Nothobranchius furzeri: one gene and its partners. The protein of the gene in region 1 interacts with the protein of each later gene in a biochemical or structural test. Links are inferred from orthologs where the notes say so. Each region holds a gene or a part of one and is shown on either strand. Other genes may lie near its edges.

Region 1 (3,500 bases):
TGTAGTATTTTAACCAGAGTGCATCATAGAATAATGAAAATGCAGAAAAAATGTGTCCAGATGTTTGCTAAATTCAGCCTTTGTGTCATAGATAACAAGAATGAGCACCACTGTAACTGCAAACGTGTTAAAGGGAACAACCTGTTTGTTGTTGATCATAAAATCACAAAACTGTTGCACTTATCATTTTGGGAAAACAAAACAAACTCCTGAGTAAGCAGCGGAGATTCTAAAATGCAACTTTTTTTTCCTCATCTTTCATCACTTAACTGTTTTTTGTTTCCTGTTTTGTCAAATCAGGAGAATACATCAAAACCTGGAGGCCAAGGTATTTTCTCCTCAAGAGTGACGGTACATTTATCGGATACAAAGAGCGACCACAAGATGTTGACCAGCTGGAAACCCCCTTAAATAACTTCTCTGTAGCACGTGAGTGTCTGCTCCAAAGAAACCCCCTCTTCTCTGTGTCTTGGCAGCTTGTTCTACCCTCCAGTTTGATGCTTTTCTTCTTTTTACTTGCTTTGTTGTTAGAAGTACTTTCACATACTTGTTCTCAGATGTGTCCTGTTTGTAAAATATAGTTTAAACCCTTTGTATTCTGGGGGAAACTGTGTCTAAAAGCCTAATAATATCCTTACTGAAAGGGAATCGAGAGTAAAAAGACTATTGATTTTGGTTTGCTTTCGTGGCGAGCCCTCCTAGATGTCCTGAATGCATTTCCTCAAACTGTCACAATAAATCCGTTATCGACGCTAATGTATAAATACTACATCTAGGACAAAATACTCAGTGTTTTGCACCTTTTTTCTAAGAGTCTGTTCAGCTGATAAGGTTTTTTTTTCCCCTGCTCATCATTGCCACATTGAGTGCATAACTAGTGTTTTTAAAGTGTGGTTTCAGTTTAGCTATTTGTTAACCTCAGGAACTCTAAACACAGGATGCACAAAGCCACTTGGAGAATGCAGCAGATTGTAGCTTACCCAGGGCTTTCCAGGATTCCCTGGATTCTTTTCTGGATTTCAAAAGGAATGCACAATGATTACATAACTTCAAGTTCAAAATGTATATTTTTTGTGTGCATCAGTCCTCAATAAACTTAAAAACAGCCAATTTGCTGCATTGAGTCTAAATTGATTTAGAAAGCCAAGAGTTTGGGTTACATTTTGAAATCATGGTATTGAGGATGTTTACGTGGAAACTGGACTTGATAACATCATGTGATAGTTAAGGCTTTCACACGATGTGGTAAAAATGAATCTATTTAAATACACTGAAGTAACATGTTTATATTGTCCCAGAGTTAAGGGAATTGGTTTTAAAGAGATGCATAAAAAAGTTAGCTGATGGCCTAAAATCAGAGAAAAGTAACGCATTGCCAGTTGTTTAATTGGGGTATGTAATTCAAATGAAACTTTCTGTGCTGCTAGTTGGTTCTGTACTACCTGTAAACACTCAAAACATGGAAAACAGCTTTCCATCTGTTTTGGTCACTTTTTGGTTTAGGAATTGTATGCATAAAACAAGTTGATTCAAAAAGTCTCCGTTTGTGACATCACAATTGCAGGAATTAGCATAGAACCACCACTCACCTGTCTGTTGTCATGCTCGGAATTTTAGTTTTTAGAATTTCCTTGGCCCCATTTGATGCTTCAGTCAACAATATACTGTGCCGTAAAATTTCCAAGCTACACAAGTGAGAGTAGGGGGTGGCACATCTGACCTATTGGCCAGGAGTTGAAGCGTTTGCCCTTCACCTATTGCATCAAATAGGATGTCGCTCAGAGGTTTGAAGCTGATATGAGGCTGCCGAAGAGATGCATCTGAAGGAAATTTTAGTGTTTCCAGCCATATATTATGTTGGGTGACTTGTTGACGAGTCTATGGAGTGCTTTTATTGGACCCTTGTGCCTGCTCTGTCTTCTCGATCCCCAGTGAGTCGTGGAGGATGGCTGCTTATACTGAGCCAGGATTCTCTGGAGGTTTCTTCCTGTTAAAAGGGAGTTTTCCTCTCCACTGTTGCTGCATGCTTGCTTAGTATGAGGATTGCATCAAGTCACTGACACTAGTCGGTGACTTGATGCAATTTGCTGGGTTCCTTTATATAGGAAACTTTTTTCTGATTGGCTTAATGAACTGACCTGGATCGGAATGTTTATTATATGAAGTGCCTTGAGACGACTCGTCGTGATTTGGCGCTATATAAATAAACTTGAATTGAATTGCATTAAAGAGCATTTTTGTTCAAGATGGTTCTATTCCGTCAGTGATACGAGCCTTCGGACGATGAGTTAGACATTATTTTAATTCTAGAGTAGCTTGACGAAAGCATTTACTGTGTCTGCAGTTATTGTTATGTTATATCCTTGATTGGCATACATGACTGGAATCACAAGCATCCTGGCTTTCTAATGAGGTACATATGTGTGTGTGTGCATTAGGGTTGTCACGATACTAAAATTTCAAACTTGATTCGATACTTGAAAAATAACTCGATGCTCGATTTCGATACTATTTAAAAACACCAATTTATTGAGCAAGTTTATTCGAAAAATAACATTCCTCAATTTATATTGCAAAAATTAAATGTTAAGAATTAAGTGTATTAAGTGCTTAAACCTTTCAAGTATCAGCATTTTTTAAAACGTGCATACAAAAACTGGTGAAAGTTAACACTTTAAATCATGAATTGTCTCACTATGAATACACTATTTGCAGAGTGATGTTTTGCTGCTTAAACTCTGTTTAAGGTGCATTTTTGTCATAAGATGTAATGCCATATGTTTTGTTCTGTACTTTTGAACAACTCTGTTGGCCAATAAAGGGAGAAAAGGAATTTCTCCACAGTAGGACAAAGGTACATCTACCGGTAATCTTAATAAAAACAGACTGGCGCACGGCAGTGACGTCATTAAAAGCGCCGGTTAATTAGCCGCAGCTAGTCTGTTCACGCCTAGAAATCCCAGACCCGCTCCAAACGAACAGGGGAATCATGTTAATGATTTCTAACAAAACCTTTCGACATTGAGATGTGTTTTGGTGCAGATAATGTCTTATTTCGAGGCTGCACCATGGGTGCCCGTCCGCACCCGTTATATGGATATACACTGATGGCGATTCGCTGATGGATCTAAATACCCCGGGGAATCCAAGTAGCACCAAAGTTGTCAGCGTGAGTAAACAAACGTACTGCATGCTAGAAATTAAGTCTGGGTTGCAATAAACGGGAGTTTTCCTTTAAGCACATAAGCGTGAATATACAACTACGTGTCGGACTTGGTATGCTAATTAAGTTGGGCTGTGAAGCGCCTCCCAAATTCACTGTTTATGTTTTTGTTTATTTATTTGGCAGACAAAACTTGGATCGGAGACAACTCGCGTGGGAAATTGCAATGTAGCCATGCGGCGTCTTCTTCTGTTTGTCTGGGAGGCGGAGGCTGCTTTACGGCATCTGGCTGTCGTGCGTGTCGGTGTACTTGAAGAAGGCTGTGTATAATAGTCCA
Region 2 (4,189 bases), on another chromosome or scaffold:
ACGAATCTGCAACACGAGCGCATGGTTTCACAACATTGTATATCGTGGTCACAAGCTTCATTTTCGGTCTCGTCCTCCGCCATTTGAGGGGATTGTGGTAACCAAACTGACATCATCAGATAATTATCTTGCCCTTAGATCAGAGCTGAGGGAACTCCTGGAAAAGGAAGCAATTTCCAGGGTTCAGAAAGGCGAGGAAAACTCAGGATTCTGCTCCCTCTACTTCCTGGTTCTGAAGAAGACGTGAGGAGCCAGGCCCGTTCTCGATCTGTCCTTGTTCAACCGCTTCATGGCGGTAAAACACTTCCATAAACTGACAATAAAACAGGTTCTAAGTTATGTGCACCCGGGTTAGGGTCCTCACACTTTGCACTTTCTCCAAATGCCTGGAGATGGCGCTTCAACCCTTACGCACTGCGGGCATGAGGATCCTCTTTTACTCTTTTATGATCTGCTGCTGCTGACATGCTCCGAGCCCGAAGTGGAATCACAGACGCAGGCGTTAGCAGACCACCTGCTCAGGCTGGGGATTTCCAAAAATTGGGAAAAAAGCTCCGTGATCGCTTCTTGGGTGATCACGTCATGGGAGTGGAACTGAACTCTGGGATCAGGAAAGCTTGCCTGTCTCAACTCTGGGTCTGCTTCACATGAGATGCATCCACCTTCCCCCACTCTTTCCACAAGCACGTCCTTGTGCTCCCGCGCAGGGTGCCACAAACTTCACATCCATGGACCTACTTGACAGTACTACATGGATCCTGCCAACAACGCCAAATGTGGCAAGGTGGAGAAACGAGGGCCCGGGCGGGATTCGATCCCCTGACTCCCGGGTGAGAGTCATGTGTTCTTACCAGTCAGCCAAAGGGACATCCCCATGGCCAAGTAGCCAGGGCGCATGATCAATCGGGACATTGTGACAGGACACTCACACTGTCACACATTGATAGTTCAGACGCCTCAAGGTTCACCCGATCCACCACAAACGCCGCATGATGATTGTCTCTAAGAAGACCCTAAGAAGAGCTGTTTCAGTTGAATGAGCTCTATGAAAACCTGACTGGAAACCATCATAGATGTTATGTTCATCAAGATCAGCTGTGAGTTGTTTGGCCACAACCTTTTCCAAGATCTTGGAGATGAACGGAAGTTTAGAGATGGGTCAAGACTGGGTTTTTTTTAAAGATTTGGGTTGGTTACAGCATTCTTAAAGCGCTCAGGGACCTGACCAGAAACCAAAGAAACATTAATTATAGAGAACACACTTGAACTGACGGATTTTTGCCGCAACACAGTTGTAAACAATAACTTCTAAATCTATTTTGCCTGGTTATTTTATTTTATTTTATTTTATATTTTATTTTATTTTATTTTATTTTGCGTCTTGGTGTGGATAACATGTATTTCCAGCTTTGGTTTTCAAGGTGTAGTACCACCATTCGCCACCTAGCCGCAGTAATAAGCTGAGGCGGAGTTAAACTCTCCAAAACCCACGAAGAAGAGCGAGCGTCGCCATGGCGGAAACAAAGCAGCAGGCAGGTAAAAAAATCCACCGGGATGTTGTTTCTTCGTTAAGTTCAGAGTCAAAGTGGTAAAAATGTCTTTAATCGTAGCGTTTAAGCCGCTTTTCTCCATGAGAACGAGTTTTACGGCGGTTAAACTAACCCGGAAGATACACGCTGACTTAGAGACAGAATAAGCTAACATTATCTTCACATTTTAATCACGTGATTAAAATGCTGTCTCATTTTAAATGTATTTGTAATATTTTTTATTGCTCGTGATGTTTTTTTAGCGTTTAATACATCCAGTTGGTTGTTTGGCAATCTTCGGTGTTTTACTGCAGGAATGTACCTCGGAAAGTATTCTTAACGTTGAATTACAGTGTTTTTCAATAATGTTCCAAATAGTTTATTTAATTTTTTCTCTATTCAATATTTCTAGGAACAACTTTCATAAATAACTATTGGGGGGGGTGGGGGGGGGGGGGGGGTAGATGCCCGTTCTTATTTCTATTTAAATATGCTGATTTTAGCAACAACAAACTCATTTTCGTATTTAATCCAACAGAATTAAATAAATTAATTAGAGCTGAGACCTGAATGACAGCAGGACTTCCTCTGTGTCCAGTGAAATAAGAATAATATATAAAATCACCGTCAGCCAGAGTTTTTGGTCCAAAGCTTTATGATTTAACTGAGTGAATGTTTTCAGCCTCCTCCCCTGAAGATGAAGCTCCTGAAGTTTCCGCCCAGGCCAGCTTCATGATACCTAAGAAGGAAATCAGCATGGTGCCCGACATGGGGAAGTGGAAGAGATCTCAGGTAGGTGTCTACCTGCAGCTCTGACACATGTAGCTCACATCCGTTTGGTTCTTTTCCTCTGACTTGTGTTTAAAGGAGAAAACCCCATCAGTTTAGTTTTATAGAAACCAGATGTTCAGATTGAGCTGATGGTGGAGGACATGAACCTGACATGGCGTCTCTGGTGTGTGTCTAAGGTTCTGCTTGTGCCCCACAGGCCTACGCCGACTACATAAGCTTCATCGTCACGCTGAATGAAGGAGTGAAGGGAAAGAAGATGTCGTGTGAATATGAAGTCTCCGAGGTTTGGTTTTTTTTAATGTCTGAAATGGTTTTTATTTTGACTCGGACACCTTTAGAGATGTTCCTCCTAGAGACGGAGTTCCTTTGGACTGAGAACACGGTTCTCCAGTTTTTGTCTCAGCGGACAAACAAAGTCCCTTAAGTAGGGTTGTCACGGTGTGAAAATGTAACCCCTCAGTTATTGTGACCAAAATTATCACGGTTTTCGGTATTAACGCGGTATTTTTTTAAACGTGTTACATTTTCAGACAACTAAATAAACCCTGTATATCAGGAAAATATTGTCCTCGGTTTGTGTCCTTCCAGTGAGCTTTGCAGATTTGGGAAAATGTCATCAGGCAGTAATCATTGTTAAATTCATAATTATTCTCGGAGAGACCAACTCTTATCTGCCCCTGGGAGCCCCGTCATGCATAGCGTCATTTCAACATGGCGGTGTCCGCGACACGGTTTATATGCAGGTAGCGGCACTGCGGCTGCTTTATATAGCGACTCGTTGCATTCTCCCTCAACCCAAATCCTCGGATCACGCATTTTAGCTAAAGCGCTAACGTTAGCTTGCCTTGCGTTGACTGTAGAGTTGTGGGTGATGGTCACGCAGATGTGTCATGAGATTTGAAGCGTTGCTGCCTTTCACAGACACTTTTTCTGCACCTGCTGCAAACAGGATAGCCGTCTTCTATCAACTGTCCCTCGGCATTCTTCAGATATCCAAAAGATGCCCGTACTTCCCACTTTGTCTTCTTTGAGGGATAATAAATGTACTCCTGAGCGCTGCCGTCTCCTCCTTTGGCCATTATTTCAGCTTTAGCTTCAAGAAAGTTTTGGTTGTAAACAACAAAGTGCGCATGTGCCGCCGGCAACTTCAGCAGATGATACGGTGGCTGGTAAGGGTCACCGCGCCTACACCGCAGCCACGGTAATCCACCGAGATAACATATGTTTTAAAAAAACAAGATGGTTATTATTATTGTCAACTTTTTTACCGGGGTTTACCGCTACACTGGTTACCGTGACAACCCTACCCTTAAGGAGGAGGTTTTCCCTCTGCAGCGTTCCGGTTCCTCCTACTCGTGGAGGTGTTCTGACGCTTCGAACAGCAGGTGATGAAGCCGCTTCATGTGGTTGCTTGTTGCAGACGGTGGACAGGCTGCTGGAGCTTTTGGGGACTTTGGACCGTTGGATAAACGAGACTCCTCCTGTTGACCAGCCGTCGCGTTTCGGTAACAAAGCCTACAGAACCTGGTTTGCCAAACTGGAGCAGGTTGGTTCAGACTTCCTCCCACACCGCCGAACCCCCACGCCGTTGATGCTGAGTGTGTCGTTCCTGTGTGTTCCCAGGAAGCCGAGACCTTGGTGTCCGCCGTACTTCCTGCCGACAGATCCGCTGCTGCTCCAGAGATTGCCGTCTACCTGAAAGAGTCGGTCGGGAACCCCACCAGGATAGACTATGGAACGGGTAACAAAGTGGGATTCTGATCCTGCTTCCCTTCCCGGCAGCCAGACTTCCTGTTAAACTGGTTCTGAAGGGACGGTCCTCCAGACCCTCTGGAGGTCTGATGGAGTTTGTGTTCTCAGGTCATGAA
Region 3 (3,500 bases), on another chromosome or scaffold:
TTTATTACAGTAATAATGCAGTGGATATCGTTTGTTTTTACTGTGCAGTTGGGTTTTGTTTTACCATGTTATGATGCGATTTACATAAATACCAACTCTGTTTCACCAGGTTTCGGTGAATCAGAACTGTTTTCCCATTACATAAAAATGAAACATCTTTTTGTTTTCAGCTCAGAGGCTTGAAAGACTGAGGAAAGAACGTCAGAACCAAATAAAATGTAAAAATGTTCAGTGGAAGGACCGGACATCCTCCCAGTCTGGTACGTAGTTTAAATTGTTTCAAATAATCAATTTTTCTCTCGTCTGTTTTAGCTCTGATGTCATCATCACGTTCCAACAGGTTAGACAAACATTGCTGTAAAAGGGGAGTTCTTGCACATCTTTTAGTGTATTAGGATCATGTGTGGTCATTTAAGGCATAAATAACATAGTCATGTATTTTTGTTTTATTAGATCTATTTTGTATTCAATTATTCATTTAAATATTGTGATCATATTTTATGGCCTTATCACCCAGATCTAAAATATCCACAACCCTTTTTAAAGTTTGGATTTCCCGTTAAACACATGAAAACTAACATGTTGTGACTGTTAAACATATTCTTTTGTTTTTACAATGAGTAGGGCTGCAACAGATCTGAAACAAGGACTGAACGCAGTCGTCTGTGTGATTTAATAATATGGAACATCAAATATCAAATTTTTTATGATTCTTAAAGGAGTGGTTCCATAATTTAAACATTTGCAGTGGTCTCTAGTAGGAATAAATGCCTTGTAAGCAAGTCATACTCAGGGGGAAAAAAGCTCAGATGCACGTAATCAGGACGTCAGTTGGAGGAAAAACTAGCTTCAGACGATAGGTTTTGGACTCTCCTGACTTTGGACTTTCCTGATATTTGGACATCTCACCTCTGATTGGCTAACAGCAACGCAACTTTACCCCTGACTGTTTGCTCTGTAACGTTGATGTTTTATCTCCACATCTAACTCAAGCGTGGAGGAGTTCTGCTGTGTGGTGGAGTTGCTAATGCTAATGGCTACTAGTTGAGACATCCTCTGCTCTATACTTGACTCAACAACAGCCCTTCCCATCTCGAGTCAAAATGAGTGAGTCCATGAATCTTAAATGACAGTGTGACGTAGATCTGTCAGGCTTATCAAATCGTAGAGTTTCCCCGTCTATTTTCTATTAGAAGCTAATGCAGGAGATAGGTGTAGGAGACCATTTTCATGTTCTGCCTGCATGAAATCTCAGTGTGACTGATTATAATCAGAAATAATCATTAAAATGGTTTTTCAGTGATCCACATCTTTAAATAAAAGTGGCATGAATATATTTATGTTTACTACTTTTTGATTTTCTGTTCAGTAGAAGATCTGGGCTCTCTGTTTGAGAAACGGGATTATAAGGACAGGCTGCGGACATTGGGAACTAAATCCACCTTGTCCCTGCGTCTGGAGCAGTGTCCTCAGCAGCTCAACAACCCCTTTAATGAATACTCCAAGTTTGATGGCAAGGTGAGAATCCCTTTATCGGTCCATCTATGTCACTTTAGTTTGACCTTTGTGATCACCCACTGCCTAATGGCTAAAGGTGTGTATGTTAGGCATTGAATGGTAAAACTAACTCATCTGTGCTGTAGGTAGGCGGGCTCAGAGGAGATGTTAAAAGAAACTAATTTAGAGCTGAAAGTTCTTACTCTCTACAACTTTAGGGTCACATCGGAACGACAGCTACGAAAAAGATCGACGTTTACCTCTCAATGCAGATGACTCAGGAGAAAGTGCATCCAATGACTGTGGTCACCATTGCAAATGCCCGCGTCCACGACCTCATCGGGCTCATTTGTTGGCAGTATACAGGCGAAGGGAGAGAACCCAAACTCAAGTGAGTTCAAAGACATCCCAAGAAAATTCCAGCTGTGTTTCTTCACTCAACCCACTTCACTGATGGGTCTGTGGCACTTCCAGTAATTTTCTCCCAACTTTTCAGTACCTGCTTGATTGTGGTTCCTAGCGTTCTGACCAAGTCAGTCACTGATTGGCTAGGGGGTGGAGTCACTCGTTATTCCAGAGCTTTCTACTTGATGCTTCACTGGTTCAGAGTCTGACAAAAAGCCAGCGACTGAGCACAATGCTCATAATCATCGCAATTGTTGTGCTGAGTGGTGTTTCTGCGTAGCATACAGATCACCTCATGCTGTTTACTGATCATGAGTAGTGTCTTGGTAAATCCCTAGCCTGGCCTGCCAGACTCATCCTCTGTCTACACAGAGAACTAGTCTGGTTACTCACAGGCAGGGAGGTACATGAGGGGCGGGACTAGCCAGCTCAAAAATAACCAATCAGAAAAAAGGCGTAATGCAGACTGTACCACGCAACGCTGTAGTTTTTCAGCTGTAGTCAAAAATGGCATTTGGCGAAGGTGCAAACATCTTTCTTTAGAAGAAAGGCTTTTATCGCTTCCTCTTGTTGTGGTTTTAAAGACATGTCCAAGTCATTTAGAACAGAGGAAAGAGCCGCAGCAAACTCCACTTCAGACGCCATGTTTATGAGAAACTCAGCATTGCGGTGTGTGACGTACGCTGCTCAGCACTGATTGGCTCGATTAGAATTCTCCGAGGGTGGGGCTGGCTGGTCAGGCCAAAAAATCCCCATGTGATGATGTTCTGAATGTGAGAAGAATGATGAAATTGGTTGGTTAAAGTTACTTGACACCTGATCTGTTTCAAGCTTTCAGTGAATGTAGTCACATGACAGTAATGATGTTCATCTGTGTATAAGTAAGTGTGTGAAATAATAAGAATCAGCAATGTGGTTTAACCATTCTAAACCAGCCTGCAGTGCTGTCTCAAAGATGGTTCCAATGACCTTCAGATGATTCCAGAACAAACTCCCTCCTTGAAGGTGTTAGGGTTGCGATCTTGTCACCCTGGACTCATCTCTGAGAAGAGCCTGAAACTGGCTTTGAGACAGCCCTCCGTGGAACAAGGGATTCTGCAATCTCTCAGCTTTGTTCCTGTTGTGGCTAACCTTCCTGAAACTTCCACATAACAGCTTGACCAGGAAGTGCATTATGCACCAGTATTGGTCTGCCTCTGTGTGACAGCTGTTAAGTGTCCCTCTGCTCCTGCCTACAGTGAGAATGTAGATGCCTACTGCCTCCACATTGCTGAGGATGATGGTGAGGTGGACACCGACTTCCCGCCGCTGGACTCCAACGAACCAATCCACAAGTTTGGCTTCAGCACTTTAGCGCTGGTGGAGAAATATTCATCCCCTGGCCTCACTTCTAGACAATCACTGTTTGTCAGAATGTAAGCTCAGAATAATCATATTTTGACAAAATGCAATACATTTTTAGCAAACCTGATTGTTATCAAGCACCAATAGTGCTATTTTGTAACGTTCAACTGTGAATAGGCAAGCCAGCGTTATTTATATAGAACATTTCATACGCAGAAGCAATTCAATCTGCTTTCCAGGTGCAAGAACAGCAA
Region 4 (3,472 bases), on another chromosome or scaffold:
CAGGACCGGGTTCCACACATCACTCAAGAGCCGGGTTCCACACAACACTCAGGACCGGGTTCCACACATCACTCAGGACCGGGTTCCACACAACACTCAGGACCGGGTTCCACACAGCACTCAGGACCGGGTTCCACACAGCACTCAGGACCGGGTTCCACACAACACTCAGGACCGGGTTCCACACATCACTCAGGACCGGGTTCCACACATCACTCAAGAGCCGGGTTCCACACAACACTCAGGACCGGGTTCCACACAGCACTCAGGACCGGGTTCCACACAGCACTCAGGACCGGGTTCCACACAACACTCAGGACCGGGTTCCACACATCACTCAGGACCGGGTTCCACACAGCACTCAGGACCGGGTTCCACACATCAGAACTGTTTCAGGATTTGGAATGGTTTAATGGATCCGACTCGGATAAAAAACTTGCGGTTCTGAAAACATTCACTGATTATTTAAAATGGATCAGAGTCGAACTTCATGCGGTAGAAAAACTTCAATGATTAAAATCAACAGCTTATTACTGAGCAGAACCAGAACTTTCAGCCCGTATGGGCCGGGCAGAACCAATACTAGCGTAAAACCCGAGAAGTCCGGTAGGACTAGTGGCACGACCAGCGTGCTGCAGCAGAACCCCGTCAGGGTCCCGCCCTGAGCCGACACGTCCTGCCCCACATGCTGCGGTCCGGCCGGGAGGCGGGAGTGGGCCGGGCCACGGCGGAGAAGGGTCTGGAGTTGATGCTAATGTGGGGAAGCTCCTCCTTCAGAGACAACAGCTGGTTCTCCTGGACCAGTCCAAAGATGTCCAGGAACCGGAGCGACGGGATCAGCTTCTCCAGGTCGCTGCAAACACCGGGACAGAACCAGTTAGTCCTCTGAAACCATTGGATCAGCGGAACCTTTGACATCAGTCAGCTGATTCAGAACCAGTACTGGTGGGCTCTTGGTTCTGCCCGACCTGTTGCATTAGAACTGACCTGAGAGCAGCCAGGTGGATGTGATAGCAGCGACTCAGAGACAGGTGCAGCAGCTTCCGGAGCTGCCGGAGAACCGGGAAGCTGTTGGCCGTCAGGAGGGTGCCGTCACTGGAAAACACACCTGGGTTAGTGCTGCTCACCTGGTAGGGGGGGGTTGTCACATGACTGAAGGAAACAGTCCTACCTCAGATCTAGAGTCTGGATGTGAGGACACCGGTCCACCAGAACCTTCACATCTAGAACAGAAACAAACCCGTTCATGTTCCGGTTCTACTTTAGGCTGGATCAAATCCAAGTTTCCCCCACATGAGACCCGTATCGGCTTTTTTATGTCTGAACAGCACCGATCCGATTTTTGCAAACCCGATCCATATGTGGTACTGATTCTGATCCATATCTGATGTGTTTGAACGCGGCAGCAGGGTCAGGGGTCATCCTGTGGATGAACTGGCCCAACCAGCTGGTTCTGCATGGCTGCGGAGCCGAGTTTTAACCTGAAGACGGGGACACGACGACGGTTTTGGGCTGAAATGTTACATTTAAGGTGAGTCGCACCAAACTGCCACACCAATGATTACACGTGTGTACGTCACCATCAGACACTCGTCTGTACAGGTCGTCAGCAACACAAAGTTCATTTAGGCGTTGCTCGCTCTCGGAGTACTATCGATCTTAAAATGTTCTAATAATAGCGCGCGAACCCATTTTTTATTCATCAGACTCTCAAAACACCATGTCGAGTCTGATCACACAACAGGAGAGCCATTGTGCGTTCCAGTTTTGAGTTCCAGGGTCCAACTCGGAGAAGATGGACGCCACTGACGTTCCTAATAGTGATGGGAATTCCGGTTCTTTCGGCTCCCAAGTGGCTCCTCAGATTTTCTGTTGTGTAGAGTACATTTATAACCAAAATAATGCTAAACTATATGTAAAAGGATTTACTAATGTAAAAAAATGATGTATATCAAATATTTATCATTTCTATGGATTTAATAATTGAACACTTTAAGAAATCTCCACTTTCCGACTGCTGGCGCTCATTTTCTCACCGTCTTCGTCGCACTCTCCTCTCTCTCGCTCGCCTTTTTCCTCCTCCTCATTCCCGCTCGCCTCCCTCCGCCCGCAGGTGCTCTGCTGTGTGTCTGAGTCTGATCCTCCCTCTTCCCCGCCCCTACTGCTCTGTGTGTGGACAGTCTGGACACACAGTTACACATGTTAACCAATCGCCTGTAGCTTTCACCAAAGCAAGAGGGGTGGGGGAGGGGACGGCTCCCGTCGTTCTCTTCAAAGAGCCGGCTCTTAGAGCCGGTTCGTTCGCGACCGACACATCACTTGTTCCTAAACCTAAACACATTTTACTGTGTTGGAAAATCATATATGTACGTAACTACTCTCCACGCTCTATAGTTATTAGGAACGATCTATTTATGTTGGACAAAACAAACCACTGTTCTGTAGGGACTGGTTAGGTGATATATGGTCGATTATACACTTAATGGATCTAGGCGGTCATCTTGAATTATGAAAATCTGCAGAAGATACAATTTTAATCCTTCTGAACGTGACTAGCAGATTACACAACGCACTTCCAGAGCAATTTATCATCCAAACCCAAGAATATCTGCTATCCCGACCGTTCCTGTCTCATCTAGAAAACACCTTCCGTTAACGGACAGAAAACGCAGAAGCCTTCCTATAATATCAGCCTTAAACCAATCCTCACTTCCTGGAAAACCATCTGCACCACCGAAAGCTAAAGAAACCCACTTTAAAATGAAAGCAATCCATCGTTCCAGATTCTTAAGACCTCGTTTTAACAGAAAGCAACAACTGCTGAAGTCATATAGAAACTATAGACTTCCTCTTTTACAAACGTCGGAAAGCACAATTGTTCTGGAAAAGCTGGAGATGTGGATCAAAATAAAAACGCCAGTTCACATCACTAAAAATATGATGATATTTGGAATTCTAATCAGGAATGAAGATATTATAATATCTTCCTGTTTAGCCACATTTTTAACCATAAACAACAAATTTTACCATCATCCCATCTTCAAAGTGTAACGCCCAAAAGGGTCGGTTTTCACCTTTCATCTGCGGCATAAATCCACTTCCTGTTTGGCCTTCCAGAACCAGAAGGTTCTGTTCAGCGCGTGTTTACATACATGAAGACAAAACATCCAGACGTTCTCTCCCAAGGTCCTACACTCTCTTCATGTAACATTCTTCACTCTGAACCGGTGAAGACTCCACCACTTTACAACTCATGAGTTAAATAATCATGTGATGAATGAACAAGAGGATTAAATGAAATGATTGAATAATCTGTGCTTAAACCAATGAATTCAAATGAATATTGTTCTTACCATGATCCATTTATACCACACATCAGTGTGTGTTGATGTAACAAGTTAATCATTGTTTACACTCACACACATTACAATAAGATACTCATTCAGGTTAAAACATGTCTGTATCTGAGGAG
Region 5 (3,985 bases), on another chromosome or scaffold:
GACAAGTCTTCAAAGCCCATCCAGATCTCAGGTTTTGTGTTGCTGATTGTTTTCAGAAAGAAATCCTTTGTTCAGTTTGCTGGACATTTATAAACGTCTTTAAACAATGAGTTAAATCAGATATTCTTTCTGTTTTTACAGCAGAGGACATGCAGGGCAAAACGGAGGAGGAAATTGAAATGATGAAGTTAATGGGATTTTCTTCATTTGATTCTTCTAAAGTGAGTGAAAAATGTGTGCATGCAGCCACCAGGTGGCGCTGTGTTCCTGAGTTGTGGCCATTCACCACGACGGCTTCATGCTTGCTGATACTTCGCAGTTTTAAGACTGTTTGACATTCAGAAAACGACACAAGACAGGAAGTGCACCATCAGCCACTGTCTAGTAGCGTTTGCTGATTGATGAACTGTAAATGTAATAGACCACATCAGGATAGCATCTGCAGCATGTATTTCTGTTTGTGATTGAACATTGTTTTCCCACAGGGGAAGAAAACAGATGGATCAGTTAATGCATTTGCCATCAACGTTAGCATGAAGAGAAAGTACAGGTACGTTCACAGAGAAAAATATCAAGTTAGCCTGCAAATACTGAAGTTTAGCGGTGTCATGGAGAATTTTGTGCATAGCACATTAAGCAGAGCGACTTTTAAAATGATTGTTGAAGCAGCTAATTTTTAATAAACAAAGTTTTATCCTGTTGGGAAATTGGCATTACAAGCAGCAACCACTATTAAAGTAGCCAATCACGTCAGCAGGTGTCTCTCTGCAGAGAATCCTGCTCTCCTATTGACTCTTGATGATGTAATCTGCAAGTGTTGAGAGGGAAGTTGTGATGCACTGTTGTTCTAAATGTTTTTACAGGCAGTACATGAACAGAAAGGGAGGATTCAACAGGCCGCTGGATTTCATCGCTTGAAAATGTCACGCTGCATTTCCTCCTTTTTCCAGCAAGGGGAGGACATGGATTACATGCTGTTAAATGTGATGCAGCAGTTCTGTGTATATATTATCACTCAACATGTAGTTGTTCCTTCAGTTATTTAGTTTTTGTTGCTGTGCTTTTTACGTGTTGTTGGAAATAAACTCTTTGAAATTGATGGTGTGCTGATTATGTAGAGCATGTGTTTCTTTTTCTGCCCAGATCTGCACAAACATGTCAATTTGTGTTGATGTATTTGAGGAGTCGTCACTAGTACCAGAGACCAGGGAGCTTCGTCTAATCCAATGTCTCCTCTGGACAGAGATACCTGGGGTCGTTCCTGAGATCGGCTGGAGCCACTAGTCCAGTTGAAAACTCAAATGTGTCAAAAGATCTTCACATATTGTGAGTTTTCTGTAAATGTGAAAGTTTTTGTCAGATTACTGCAGCATCTCACAGTCCCACACATCTATGCAAAAGCGGAGCTTTAAAGATAGATTAAATAAAAGTTTAACTTTATTGAAGTTTCAAACAACAGAAGTGTGTGTTGTAAATGTTCTTGCATTTTTTATTTATTTTTTATTAGGGTTTGGATTTTTGGTGCATAAGAGTACCTGGAAGGTACTTTTCGTTGCACGAGAATGATAAAGGAGTTGTCTCGGTTTCTTTTCTTTTCTTTTTTTCTTTCTTTTTTTTTTTTTTTTTTTTTTTGTTTGTTTTGTTAACATATTTTTCGTCGTTTCACGTTGATTGCATTCAGGAACATTGTGTACTTTTTTTGAATGCGGGTCCGCTTCTTTTCAGTGTGCCGGCGAATGAACCTGGCGGAAGTGATGAGCGGCGACGGAGGTCAGTCAGATTGATTGAGCAGATTATTGCACTGCTAGAAATGTATACATATAAATTCTATTCAGATAGATTCCTGCATAAAACCTACTATGGTGGGCGTGTTGGACTCGTAACACTGCGTAAGCTCCGTCCACCCGGCGCGCTGGTACGTGCGTTGATATTTCAGTCTAGATGTTTTCACAGAGTAACAAGTTAATGTGTGTGTATGTGAGTAATAAAGTTTCTATTAAAAAGTTTGTGAAAGTGCGCTTGCGCGCACATTGCAGGTTGTGATAGGAAAAGTAAAGGGACTATCAAACCAATCGTAGAAGGAAGAAGTGAGGCAAACAACACCACGAGAGCCAATCACAGCCGTACACCACGAAACAGCATGGCAGGGAGGCGTGGCTTCTGTTAAAGGGACGTTGACATTTTCGTGAGCTCGTGGGCATCGGAGCCAATAGCTGACAAGTTTACCTGAAAACAGCCAATCACAGAACGTGAATTCAGTATTGAGAAAAGCCGTCCATTATGGCTCCCTAGTTGTTTACTGTCTAGTCCACAGACATCGGTCTAGTTCACTTAAGAACCAAAATGGCGTGGACGGTTATCAGTTGCAGTGTGGGTCGATCCCTTTGAGTCATTGATGTTTTAGACAGCCAATAAAAGCTGGAGTGGATATAGTCAACATCCAATCATGTGACAGCACACAGCGGCTTTGTGTTACAGTACAGTTGGGAGCTGCTATCCACATAAGCCTCTATTTTGGATGCACTTTGACAAATTTCCGCCGTTCTGTGTCAGTCGTTACATTCAGCTAGACGAGGCACGCGTTTTTAGTGATAACCAGTACATAACCAGCTAGCCAAAAAGTCTGGAACCAAAACGGCTGGATTGCATCGTCAAGATAATCCAGGAATTAGTTCATCTTTTTAAAATATTCCTGATTTCCGGCAAGTGCGTCCAGCCTAACAGCATCTTTTTGTTTTTTGGCTGATGACTTGAACCTAAAGTCGTTTGTAGTCAGTCGCTAACGTTTGCCAACTTTTTGTTGTTATTCCTAAAACTAGTCAGAAAATACTATCGATTTTTTGTTTCGTTTTTATCAACAGCCATCTGTATTTCTTGAAGAGAGATTCGTCTAACCAGTGATACTAAGTCACCCAAATCAAATGGTTTAAAGGTATAATCTTAGCTGTGGGGAAGTGTTAGCGTCTACCGTGGCTAAAAGGCTACCACCAAGCCTTTAAAGCTGTTTTTTTATATAGGAGAAACCAGTTTCGCTTTCCACGTCTTTTATCGGGACCTTTTATTTTAAAAATCGATTGATTGAAATCCTGCAGAAGCAACTCGAAAACAACATTTTAGAACAATAAGTGAGAACAACAGGGAACCCAAGAGTTCAGAAATAGAAGCGTGACTACAGTAACGGAATCCCTCGTTGGATTATTGTAATATTATTAGTGTTATTGTTGAAAATGGCGTCGATCGAAATGGTGCAGATGTTGATCGAAGCAGCAGAGTACCTCGATCGCAGGGAACGAGGTAAAGTATATTTTAATTCTAATTCTATGCTGTTAAAAAACAACACATTCCCACTTCGTTCATGTCTGCCCATTATCACGCTGATCGGGCTCTTTATGCGTCCGGCAAATAGGTTTTATATTCTTAAGTTGCACATCCTGTTCTTAACCCAGGTGTTCATCGTTGACTATGATGATGACAATAAATAGGATTTATAAAATATGAATGGTGCAGTGATTAACGTGCATTGTGCATCTTTTATGAAAGGAGAAATCATGCAAATGCTATTAAAAATATAGGAACACAATGTTTAGTTGCAAGCTCCTCCTTTCCTTCTGTTGTGGTTTGCTGGTAGGGTTTATCGTAGTTCAGGATGACATCATTGTCCAAGCTGTGAGGGTGGGTGGGGGGGCACTGTTTAAAGATACTGCATTATTAAATCCGTTCATTCCATGCATGCATCCCAGCATAACACATTGGATGTAAGATGATGCAGATGGGGATGTGTGCAACATCTCGTGTCTCCCACCCTGGCTATGTTTGCAGATAACAGGACATGTGACCACTGTTGTTTATTTGCTTGCAGAAGCTGAACACGGCTATGCCTCCATGCCACCCTTCATCAGCAGCAGAGAGAGGGAAAGCTTGAAAAGGAAAAGCAAAAGCAAGAAAAACACAAGTAGCAGGTAAAGGCATACTCAGCTTGTTGAAT
Region 6 (3,500 bases), on another chromosome or scaffold:
ATTCCTCCTAAAGTTCAGGAGAAGTGGATTTGTGGTCAAAATGAAGTTTTCTCTCTTTGAACAACTGTCTGCAGATGAGTGATTGCTCTTTGTGAAGCTGCCCTCTTTGATCAATCGCCATCTGTCGTTTTACCCGATGCATTTCCCCCTACTGCCTGTGTTCCTATTCTCGCCCAGCCTCTCCCCCCGGATCCTCTCACGCACCTGTCCTCTTGCCCTCCCTAGGTTTCTGAAAGCTCTCAGCTTTGCCTCGCTGGATAAAGAGGAACTCCTCAGCCCCATCAACCAGAGCACTCTGCAGCGCTGCTCGTCAGTGCGCTCCGTGGTCCCCAGCGCCACCTTTGGCTGTAACGACGACTACATTGGCCTGGCACTGCCGATGAACATCAACGATATGTTTCACATCCGAGAATCTACCTACTTCCAGCAGAGGATCAGCCCACCATCAGAGGAACGGAAACGCTTCCTGTTTGGTGATGGAGATGGTACAACGCAGCATCACGTCTGACTAAATGATCAAACCCAACAGAGGAACAGTATTTTGAAAAAGATCATTTTGTTTGGTTATCTCTGTAGGGGATCGACCCACTGTCCCATTACTGAAGCAACAGTTTAGCATCTCTGAGCTGATCGTGTGCCGAGGTGACACTCCTAACCACATGGTGGGCTCGGAGGAGACGGGCCTGCAGGATCACACTGAGGAAAACTGCCTCTACTGTGTGGGAGCCATTGTCCTCGGATACCCCACAAAGCCACAGATCAACAGCACACACCCTCGAGGTGAGGGCACACATTCTTTTAGCAAGGATGATAGTGTTCCTTAGTGTAGAATAACAATAAAACCTCTGTTTGTTTTAAATCCCCAGATTATGTGGATTTTCCTTCATGGGGAGGCCAGAGCGGGCATCGGTTGGAGGTGATGCCTCAGTCCAAGTTCTCTGGGGTGTCGGGCTGCAGCGACGCTGCCGTCTCACAAGGGTCCATCTCCAGCACGCCCACACCTGGAGACATCGTCATTGGTATGTGCTCCTCCATCCACAACGTGTATCTTTTATATAGGAGGGCATAAAGGCCACATTATCACACATTAGTCAGATCAGATTCTTGGATTCATCTTCAAACATATGAATTAATGTCAGCAGCAGCTTGGAGTCAACCTGTTCACACTCCTTCCTTCTGGCAGGTGATGAGCAGCCTCGTTCCCTGAGGCTCATGAACTCCAAAGCTTGAGCTGTACTTTGCTGTCTACCTGTAGGAATTTAGATGTTTGTTAATGATTTATTTGTTCGTGTTAAAACATTTGACCCTAACATGCTGCTGAATGATTATGAATATACAAATCGGAATATCTACTTTTTTGTCCTCTAGGTGGAAAGGCAATATCTGAGGATGGCCCCGCCTCTCGAGTCTTGCTGAGGAAGGAGATTCTCCGACTCATCATCAATCTCAGCTCTTCTGTAGGAACCAAAGGCCACGAAACAGGACTACTGACGTAAGTCTGGTGTTGTAGTTCAGCTGTAAAACTGGTCCTTCGGTCTGCCGATGAGGGGTTTATTTGGGTCTCTGATGCTCAGTAGTGATGGATCGATGCTCTCCATCACGTTTATTTTCTCTGAGAGGACAGGAAAGAGTCCAACTCAGAATGACTGGGCCAGTATTCGTTCCTGTAGAGCAAAGTTAACAACTGTAACTATAAATCCGTCACTGCCAGCCATTTTATGAACAGAAAACTCCTGATGGCCAGCGTTTTTGAGCGTTTTTACAGTTTTTTTGAAGAGTCTCAGAACATTGTGCTCTATGACCATGTAAAGATGAATCAACATGTTTTTTACTCTTGCCGTTCTTTCACTGTCCGTTGTTGACATGTGAGCTGCAGGAGCTTTTTCCAGTTTGCGCCTCACTTTAGGCAGAGCGGCGTCCCAAACTGATCTCCTAGTTCATGGATTGTCTGCTTCATGATCATGTGACATGTGACACACACAGATGAAGATCCACCTGTAGAGTCGTGATGTTTACTCTCAGGGTGCTCGTTCCACGCCCGCCCCATTAATAAAGGCAATTGACGACTTTAGTCATTTTATTCACTTGACTGTCTTAAGGTTGGTTTATGCTTGACGCATCCGCGAGGTCCGCACAGCTTCGCGCGGCGAAATTGCGTCATTTTAACTACCACACTCCCCCACCGCACCTCCGCACGGCCCAAAATTTCCGCACCGTGCACCTAGGAAATTTTCTAACCACGCGGACGGTCGGACGCGGAAAAACATGGCGGACCGGCAAGAACTAGTATGGCAGAGGTTCGTAAATACAGACATTTGTATGATTCAGCTCTCAGAGATCACCGTGATCAACATGTTGTTAATAATTCTTGGAGAGAAATAGCTCGCACTGTCGGAAAAGACGAGGACGCTGTTAAAAAAATGCTGGAATGTCATGTTGTAAACAATAATTTCTACTTCTACTATGGTGTAGTGTTGGATACATGCCATAGAGCTCCATGCTGCCCCCTACAGTTTGGGAGAATATTGGCTCACCGCAGAGACAAGCCGCATGAACCATAAACGCTGCAAGTTGGGAAGCGCGTTCCAGCCGCGAGCCGCATCACCAAGCGGAAAGTGAATGCGTCAAGCATAAACCAAGCTTAAGCCTGTAGCAGCATAACTAAAAGGGTGAGCCAAGATGACCGTATTTTATCAAATAGGAGAGCCTAGTTTAAAAGTAGAGCAGGCGTGTGCCTCCAAAGGGAGAGGCCTGAGAGCTGTACGCTCTGCCTCCTAATCTACCTTTAGAAACGTTAGAAATCACAAGCAAAGCTGCAGCCTGAGAGCCGGGCATTCTGTTGTGGACATCTGGATAAACGGTAACTAATATCTAAGATGCTGCTTTCAGAGTTTCAGAAGTAAGAATATAATGAATGAAGTGATGCTTAAACAGGAGAAATCAGATCCTCTCTTCATCAGAACCCTGGTAGCGACCTTTGGGATCAGCTGGAGGCTTTGAGGAGAATAATTAAAACAACACTGATAATAAAGAATTAAAGTTATCTAGCTTAGAATAAGTAAATGTGTGATCTAGTCCTTCAGAGTCTCTTTGGATCAGTTTTAAAAATATCCTAGGGGTGGGCAGTAAATTGAACATGTATCGTTATTGAAATTTCTGACTCAATATCATTTTTCCCATGACAATAAATTCGATAATATATAAAAATAAAGATGTGTGACCGTTGGCGTAGCTTTAAGAAGCGGTACCACCTTGGTTACATGACGATGTGAGAGCCCCATCTAGTGGACAACGTTTGTTTCTGAGCTTACATTTAGTTATCCATTTATCGTTATTGAGGTGAAGTCTTCAATATAATGTGATATTGATTTTAGGCCGCATCGCCCAGCCCTAAGTCCCATAAAATGTATTCTATGATAATTAAAGGGCCCTGCTCTAGAATAGAGGTAAGGTCCAAAAATCACCAACTCTGATCCCGACTAAATTTCCCAGCAGGACAC

The links.
Region 2: of the proteins of akt1 (region 1) and ptpa, one has a biochemical effect on the other in vitro, tested with the Homo sapiens proteins (2 studies listed by BioGRID). The link is inferred for Nothobranchius furzeri from reciprocal best matches to the Homo sapiens genes AKT1 and PTPA.
Region 3: of the proteins of akt1 (region 1) and mapkap1, one has a biochemical effect on the other in vitro, tested with the Homo sapiens proteins (3 studies listed by BioGRID, with this or other methods). The link is inferred for Nothobranchius furzeri from reciprocal best matches to the Homo sapiens genes AKT1 and MAPKAP1.
Region 4: of the proteins of akt1 (region 1) and skp2, one has a biochemical effect on the other in vitro, tested with the Homo sapiens proteins (4 studies listed by BioGRID, with this or other methods). The link is inferred for Nothobranchius furzeri from reciprocal best matches to the Homo sapiens genes AKT1 and SKP2.
Region 5: of the proteins of akt1 (region 1) and mxd1, one has a biochemical effect on the other in vitro, tested with the Homo sapiens proteins (2 studies listed by BioGRID, with this or other methods). The link is inferred for Nothobranchius furzeri from reciprocal best matches to the Homo sapiens genes AKT1 and MXD1.
Region 6: of the proteins of akt1 (region 1) and rapamycin-insensitive companion of mTOR, one has a biochemical effect on the other in vitro, tested with the Homo sapiens proteins (7 studies listed by BioGRID, with this or other methods). The link is inferred for Nothobranchius furzeri from reciprocal best matches to the Homo sapiens genes AKT1 and RICTOR.

Annotation. Positions count from the first base shown.
Region 1 is NC_091758.1:33,917,168-33,920,667, reverse strand, and holds part of akt1 (RAC-alpha serine/threonine-protein kinase), read left to right. Parts: intron 1-300; coding exon 301-429; intron 430-3,500. UniProt on the Homo sapiens protein: AKT1 is one of 3 closely related serine/threonine-protein kinases (AKT1, AKT2 and AKT3) called the AKT kinase, and which regulate many processes including metabolism, proliferation, cell survival, growth and angiogenesis.
Region 2 is NC_091746.1:70,997,707-71,001,895, reverse strand, and holds the start of ptpa (serine/threonine-protein phosphatase 2A activator), read left to right. Parts: upstream 1-1,389; 5' UTR 1,390-1,511; coding exon 1,512-1,536; intron 1,537-2,211; coding exon 2,212-2,321; intron 2,322-2,517; coding exon 2,518-2,604; intron 2,605-3,741; coding exon 3,742-3,867; intron 3,868-3,944; coding exon 3,945-4,062; intron 4,063-4,181; coding exon 4,182-4,189. UniProt on the Homo sapiens protein: PPIases accelerate the folding of proteins. It catalyzes the cis-trans isomerization of proline imidic peptide bonds in oligopeptides. Acts as a regulatory subunit for serine/threonine-protein phosphatase 2A (PP2A).
Region 3 is NC_091746.1:37,008,283-37,011,782, forward strand, and holds part of mapkap1 (target of rapamycin complex 2 subunit MAPKAP1), read left to right. Parts: intron 1-170; coding exon 171-260; intron 261-1,369; coding exon 1,370-1,518; intron 1,519-1,715; coding exon 1,716-1,888; intron 1,889-3,140; coding exon 3,141-3,317; intron 3,318-3,500. UniProt on the Homo sapiens protein: Component of the mechanistic target of rapamycin complex 2 (mTORC2), which transduces signals from growth factors to pathways involved in proliferation, cytoskeletal organization, lipogenesis and anabolic output.
Region 4 is NC_091746.1:70,411,010-70,414,481, forward strand, and holds the end of skp2 (S-phase kinase-associated protein 2), read right to left. Parts: intron 1,224-3,472; coding exon 1,172-1,223; intron 1,096-1,171; coding exon 988-1,095; intron 854-987; coding exon 649-853; 3' UTR 501-648; downstream 1-500. UniProt on the Homo sapiens protein: Substrate recognition component of a SCF (SKP1-CUL1-F-box protein) E3 ubiquitin-protein ligase complex which mediates the ubiquitination and subsequent proteasomal degradation of target proteins involved in cell cycle progression, signal transduction and transcription.
Region 5 is NC_091757.1:29,115,900-29,119,884, forward strand, and holds the start of mxd1 (max dimerization protein 1), read left to right. Parts: upstream 1-1,185; 5' UTR 1,186-1,301; coding exon 1,302-1,326; intron 1,327-1,725; coding exon 1,726-1,770; intron 1,771-2,446; exon of another isoform or gene 2,447-3,227; coding exon of another isoform or gene 3,228-3,294; intron 3,295-3,697; exon of another isoform or gene 3,698-3,755; intron 3,756-3,859; coding exon 3,860-3,959; intron 3,960-3,985. Other genes in the region: snrnp27 (U4/U6.U5 small nuclear ribonucleoprotein 27 kDa protein), read left to right, coding at 1-31, 142-221, 486-550, 864-918. UniProt on the Homo sapiens protein: Component of a transcriptional repressor complex together with MAX. In complex with MAX binds to the core DNA sequence 5'-CAC[GA]TG-3'. Antagonizes MYC transcriptional activity by competing with MYC for MAX binding.
Region 6 is NC_091757.1:36,654,161-36,657,660, forward strand, and holds part of rapamycin-insensitive companion of mTOR, read left to right. Parts: intron 1-225; coding exon 226-485; intron 486-576; coding exon 577-780; intron 781-866; coding exon 867-1,019; intron 1,020-1,368; coding exon 1,369-1,492; intron 1,493-3,500. UniProt on the Homo sapiens protein: Component of the mechanistic target of rapamycin complex 2 (mTORC2), which transduces signals from growth factors to pathways involved in proliferation, cytoskeletal organization, lipogenesis and anabolic output.